Tribolium castaneum: one gene and its partner. The protein of the gene in region 1 interacts with the protein of each later gene in a biochemical or structural test. Links are inferred from orthologs where the notes say so. Each region holds a gene or a part of one and is shown on either strand. Other genes may lie near its edges.

Evidence for each region.
Region 2: the proteins of dnr1 (region 1) and sel form a complex in vitro, tested with the Homo sapiens proteins (2 studies listed by BioGRID). The link is inferred for Tribolium castaneum from reciprocal best matches to the Homo sapiens genes MYLIP and CNPY2.

Annotation. Positions count from the first base shown.
Region 1 is NC_087396.1:13,981,439-13,985,276, forward strand, and holds the end of dnr1 (E3 ubiquitin-protein ligase MYLIP), read right to left. Parts: intron 2,332-3,838; coding exon 1,327-2,331; intron 989-1,326; coding exon 767-988; 3' UTR 181-766; downstream 1-180. UniProt on the Homo sapiens protein: E3 ubiquitin-protein ligase that mediates ubiquitination and subsequent proteasomal degradation of myosin regulatory light chain (MRLC), LDLR, VLDLR and LRP8. Activity depends on E2 enzymes of the UBE2D family.
Region 2 is NC_087396.1:24,663,701-24,666,843, forward strand, and holds sel (protein seele), read left to right. Parts: upstream 1-1,704; 5' UTR 1,705-1,920; coding exon 1,921-2,005; intron 2,006-2,062; coding exon 2,063-2,385; intron 2,386-2,437; coding exon 2,438-2,569; 3' UTR 2,570-2,632; downstream 2,633-3,143. Other genes in the region: STE20-related kinase adapter protein alpha, read left to right, coding at 2,925-3,095, 3,143-3,143. UniProt on the Homo sapiens protein: Positive regulator of neurite outgrowth by stabilizing myosin regulatory light chain (MRLC). It prevents MIR-mediated MRLC ubiquitination and its subsequent proteasomal degradation.

The DNA of each region.
Region 1 (3,838 bases):
GCAGATCTGGAAATGTATCATTAATTGCCTTTCGTACAAGGATAACCTTCCTGTCCCTTTATTTCTTTTTTTTTCTAATTCTCAGCAACGGTTATAGGTGTAAAATAATTAAACCATTTCAATTCCACTTACCTTTATTAGTAAATAAGGAAGGTTTTTTTTGAAATAAAACAACATAAATAATTATTGTAATTCCATGTTGACGTAAACGTGAATAGCAAAAAATTTAACAGATATACTCGTTATAATACTAATAACAAAATACTTGTAAATATGTGACATATACACGTCTACACTTTACTTTAACATCGATTAATAAAATTTGATAGTATAAACGTAAACTTAATTTTCCAAATGAATGCAATATCACAAAACAAAAATTTCTTATCACACATTTCTCATTATAATACTAGCATTATAACATTTTTATTATATTAACAAATATCGAAACTAAACCTAATTTACATCTTGCATTGATAATATGACTATTAATAATTCATGTCATTTACATTTCGATAGCTTTTGCATTTTCTTACTATTGTCAATAGTTAATAAAATACAACACTTTAGGTCCTTCATACTTTACATAGTAAAAAATAGTATGTAGATAGATACTTAACAATGTACAAAACAAACCTCAATATGAGATTTTGGTTAACAAAACATCACAAGAAAAGATCAAAAATTATACGATTGTCACTTGTGTACTCTGTCCACTTCCACAACTAAACTATTCGAGATCTTAGTAAAGTAAAAATGCAGTCTTTCAATTCGTAGTCTGACCCACCAGGAGGTAGTCAATGGGCAAAAACACCTTCTTCGCTTGTGCGATGTCGGAACGACAAAGGGGGCACCTGTCGCAGCGCGAGGCGCACGCCATGCAGGCCACCCCGTGCCCGCACGGCAGGAAAATCGCGTCGATCTGGCCGTCCATGCAGATTTTACAGGTCATTGCGTCCAGAAATCTCGACAATTTTTCTTGGGAATTCTGGAAAAAAGAAGGCAAATTAAACGTTAGTTTAACGCCAAGTAACAAAGTTACTTATACCCGCTGAAGAATAATCCTTATCGTCGTGTATAATACGACATTTTTTCTATAGCAGAACTTCAAGTTAAAGAGGAAAAAGTTATTGTTAAACCGTTAATCTTTCAAATTCATGTGATGGAATTTTTAAGTTTTAATTGAGTAAAACAAATTTAAAACATATTAGCTACCCTTGCAGTGCAGTGTAATGTATATAGAAATTAATAGTAGTCTAACATCTGCTATAGAAAAAATATACTATTTAAATAACAAAGCTGGTAGAACTTTGATTGTTACCCTACCTTGCACTCTCCCGCGTTGCCGTTGTAGTCGAGATTGGCGCGAGTGATTTCCTGAATAGTGTTTTCCAAATACAAGGCTCTTCTTGCATTGTCGTAGACTTCTCTGCAGGTCCTCCGAATATCGAACACGTACTTTTTGCCCAATGTGGAGTCCTCGTTGAAAATTGAAACAATGGTCCCTTTCAGATCTCGAATAAATTGTGCCGTTACGGCACTGCGAACCGTCTCGCAGCTGTAGAAGGCGTGTTTTTCCGTAATGGCCCGATATAAGCTACTAGCCACATGGCTAGAATCTAGTTTAATATTTAGAATAGCCCCTTCGTTATCGATGGTCAAATATTCAAGTTTAAAAGTGCGCTTATGGGAGGAAGCACTCGTTATGTTAGTGAACGAAATCAACTCCTTCTCCCCGTCCTTTTTGTAAATCGTGATGCCATGAGGGCCGATCCCGTACACCGTGTTGTTATTCTGGTGATTTTTCACCGTGAACGTCTCCTCTCCGAAATTCTCAAACTCCGACACTTCCTTCAAAAACCAATACTCGGCGGAAGAGCTCTTCATCCCTTTGCATTTTTTGTGCTCGTGGACGATCCTCTGTAGCAAATCTCCGGGTTTCTCCGACTGATCCAAAGGAGCGATCGTTGTAGCTAAATTGTAAATATTCCGAGGCGGATCAAGTTCGTTGAAGTCGCCACATTCAGCTTGAGCTATAAAAGCGATCAGTCTTGAAATGCTGGCCCAGTCCGGGGCTGTTAAGCGTTTTTCCAACAGATGAAGTCTCGCGTTGAGGTAAAACTGGTGACGGGTGCTTTCTTGCTGCAAGATGTGAGGAGGAACCCAGAACTTCACCCGCAGTGATAAGCGCAGATAGGACGTATGGCCGTGAAAAGTCACTTGCCGATCGATGGGGTTTCGTAAATTTAACCAGGATTCCTCTCCCTTGTGGTTTTCGTACTTCAATCCGAAGTAATCAGACTCGTATTGCACATTCACGAATTCGCACACCTGAAACAAACAAAACACGTCAGATATTCGATTATGAAAATTTGTATTGTGCCTGTTATGGCCGCCAAGTGTGCGGAAATTTGAATAATTTTATGCTCTGAATGATAATTATGGATGGATTAAGCAACATTTGACTCGAGCTAACTTCACTAATTCATGGAAATTTAATCTCGAGTCACTCGTTTTTAAACTCGAATAAAATCGATTGTGTAAATTTGTTTAAACAAAAAATCCTTGATATTTCTGCACCCCACTTCCTTCATTTATTATTTATTTTTTATTCGCATGCAGATAAACAGCTCCATACAACAGGAAAATATGAATAAACTCACAACTTTTCTAAAATTCCGTTTCAGTTTATTTTCAAACTAATATAAATTCAAGAAACTTGTGACTGTATTTCTCATTTACGAAAATAAACGAAAAAGATTCGCTTTGGCAAGCAAACTGTTTGGAAAATTTCGAGTTCGGATACAAAGATCAGGTCGGTCACTGTAACAAATTACCGAATAAATTGGGTCACTGAATACCTCACATGTTGACTGTCACGTTTTTCAATAGAATAATAATTAGGAACTATCTTAAGTAATAATGATCCACGGTCGCATTATAATGCCCCCATAATCGAATAATTACGCCCACTACGTAAACCAAATATTTCCAAACATTCCAAATGCAGATAGAGTGAGCTAATCACTAATCACCTGGTAATAACAATAAATCTCTCATAGCCCAAGCTATTTCAAAAACAAGAATTCAATTTTGAAAAAATGACAAAGCTTCAAAGGAAGACTCACTACAACTTCCAATTTGGTTTGACAAAATAAAAAAATAAATAAAATAAAAAAATCCAATTATTTTAGTTAATTCTGAAATTAATACTAATTCCAGCTAATTACACAAATAATTCACCCTGTATTTTTTACATTAGAAGAATAGCATAACAAAATATAGATTTAGCAAAAAATACAATTAGCTGGGGCAATATTAACTGTTTGTATTTAATATTCCCGGAAATTTTAAGCTCTGCTATGAATAATGGAAAACATAATTAAAAATCGCTGAACGGTATCCATCGAAAATTAAATATTTGTTAATTCCCTATAAATTGATTGAGTTTGTAAATTTCGAAAAACGTGAAAATCGAAACATATAAACACCTCTAATTCTCTCAAATTAGAGCTACAATTTCCTAGTAGTTAATTTAACAGTTATTCGAGATTTTCAGGATTTATATATAAATTCGCAATGAATCCTGGAACGTTGATGTATGATGTTTGCTACAATGAATAAATGTTTGCCTAAATCTCGCTGCGCATTATTTATCGAAATTTACAATCGGCACATGAAATAACAGCCAACGATAGGCAGATAAAGGACATCCGCACTCTTCGTCCTTTTGTCCTCGGCAACAATACCTGCTCTTTCCAATATCGTCAATGATAACAATCGTGCATCACAAAATGGTAATTGATTTCGCTCTAGTCCGATTCAATAAAATCCAATA
Region 2 (3,143 bases), about 11 Mb from region 1:
TCCACGGAGGGAGAGTGCCGGCCCCCGCGACGGAGGCTAATTTTGGAACGCCGACGCCGAAATCGCGGAAAAACCATGGGAAATGCTGGAAAAGCGGCGCCGAATTGGGAATTGCAATTACACAACACTTGTGTCAATGTGAAAAGTTAAAAATATGTCACTCACCTTACAAAAGCCTCTTTCGCGGAAAGCGCTTCCGTGCGGACTGGTGCCGGGGATGCACCGTACAATTGCAACCGATCCGCGCTGATTTCACTGGGAAATAATTGGAAAACACTAGAATTCATCAAAAGAAAATTCTGACACATTCTGTTCCGAACCACCCGAAACGATGACCGATTGTCGACTGACTGGCTGCTTCAAATCTCCGAGCTTGTTTGGACGAGTCCATCAATTTCGGGTGGTTGGTCGCTTTGCCCACTTTCAAATTTTTCAAGTTTTTGATCACCAAAATGCACAAAACCTACACACAAACATTACGACGTGCCACAGGATGAGCTCCCAATTCCAGAAAAATTACACTTTAGTCATATTGTGGATTTTTTCAGTTTCGGATACTAGCGACCGCCCCTCGAATCAATTGTCTGATCCGTAAAAGGTTTGTTTGATGCTTGCTCTGATAGTTCAATGTGAAGAGAACAGTGGCGCTGTTATCGATTTTTAAAAATACCCGCCAAAGAACAATGTAGTGCCCATTTTCGGATTAGTTGAGCGTGTAGCAGATGTAAAAGTTTTAAACTGACCTCTGACTGTTATTAATCTTATTAAGCCGGACATCAAGATTCAAACTCTTTTTGTGTCTATTAATTATTATTAATAAACTACACCTAAACATTTTTATTACTATTAAAAATAATTATACCTACAAGAAATTAATCAACTAAACAATTTCTAAAAGTATTCGTGCCAATGATTACGTGGCTGCAGAGGCTAATAAAAAATATAAAATTAAATAAAAATCTGAAAACAAGTAAAAAACTTGTCTATGCAATTAATTCATAAATCCACTTTATGTTGAATATACATCCAGTGAACATTACTGCATAACACACACCTCAAGAAGACACATTTTAATTACTAATTATTAATTTAGTCACTCTCTTCGGCAATAAGAACCACAATGAAAAATTAAAAAAATAATAATAACTGAAGTGAGTGTATAAAAATAGTTGAAAATCACATTTTTGGATTCAAAACATCAAAAAAAAACACACACACACACACACACAGTGATGCATGGAGAACATTGGAAATTTAAAACAGGTCATAAATTCCATTTAAAAAATTATGTAGCAATCTGAAACTTGAAACAAATACCATATGCTAATATTTAAGAGCTTTTGAGCTTTTTGAGAAAGATAAGAGTTGAAAAAAAAATAAATTCACTTGGTTTATTGTATTTTGGGTTGCCCACTTCAATCAGTGCTTCTATTCTATGACAGACAATAAATAATTGAAGAAAATGGGGTCACGTTTGTGCTCCGAGTCAAAACGGCTCCAATACACTTCTGATAAACTTGTAAAAAATTACCGTAAAAAACAGAAACATCCAATTAGTTAGAATTCAACCCAAATTAATCCAATTATTATTCCCAATTAGATAATTCTTACAAAAACTAACTGTATTATTGGACCGTTTGGTTATGTATTTTATCGATTTAATTTTACATTATAAAAACCACGGGATTATAACTGTGAAAGATTTTCGGTTCAAATAATTTTCATTACGGGAAATACCATTGGAGCAAATACTATCAGCCATCACTATCAGCATAAGCCCAATTTAGCCAATCAGAAGGTAGAAACGTGTCATTAGAAAATTATGAACGTCAACCAGTTTTATTTTGAAGAAAGCGAGCCGCGAAAATATTATTCTTGCCAGTTTATTCCGAAAAAGTGCAAAATTGTTCTGACAATAAGATGAAAATAACGCTAGTTCTAGTAACACTCTTTTTTTACAACACAAAAGCACAAAAAATTGATGCTCAAGAGTTGAGGTGTTTAGGTAAAGAATGAATGATTTTTGTTGTAATGGTGTTTTGTAATTAGTGATGATTTCCAGTTTGTAAAGTTAGTTTAGACGAATTACACAAAGCTGTGAATAAAATCGATCCAACCAAAACCGTCGACGTTGGGGGTTATAGACTGGACTCTGATGGCAATTATCGACACAAATCAGTTTCTCAAGCCAAGTCTGAGGTTCATTTATCCGAAATGATCGAAGATATTTGTACGAAAATGGACGATTATGTAAGGGCGACGTGGAAATCGAACGGAACTTTAACTTTGTTGAAATTAATTACCGAAGATGGGAAAATGAATAACGACATGTCTGAAGTGAATTTAATTCAAGATGACGATTTAAACAAAAGTTTGAAATATTACGTATGTTTCTCGTTATTTTAGGTATTCGGCTGGACTGATTTATTCGTTTTAGTGTGAGGGCATTATGGAAGAAATGGAAGAAAATATTATCAAACACTTCCAAAGTGGAACAGAGGACGTAGACAAAAAGGTGTGTGTTGAAGAATCGGCCATTTGTGGGAAGAAAATTAATGAAGAATTGTGATTTATGCTAGTTAAGGCTTCCATGTTAACATATTTATTCTTTTAATAAAAAATCAAAATGAAATGGCCTTTTCATGAAACCTAGCACATGTCAAATAAAACGTCAGCTGTCACTTTCTAGGTTAAGTTGCTTTGTTTTAAAGCTTGTGAATTATCAATTAAGACGTTATTTATTCATTACATTCAATTACTGTTTTAAGAAATATAGGAGTGTTTTACAATTTATTGCCAAACATCGATTGATTGCCCCTTTTTGCGGACCAAACGTCAGAATGGTCAAGTTTTAGGTTAGGTCATTTCAAATTTAAATATGTCACAAAAAATTGTTTATAGTGTGACTAAAAAATAGCGCTAAAATGGTTAATTATGAGGCAAACATATCAGCTTACGAGACAATATCAACTCTGGGCCAATGTTTCGAAGGAATGGCAGTGGTCAACTTGGCAAAACACAAAATTTCGGGCACCATGGTCACCATAAAACGCTTTAATATGGACCGAATTAAACACGAAGCGCACTTGGTCGAGGTGTGAAACCATCCCTGAAGTGCTACTGCATGACTGATCTGTTTTAGA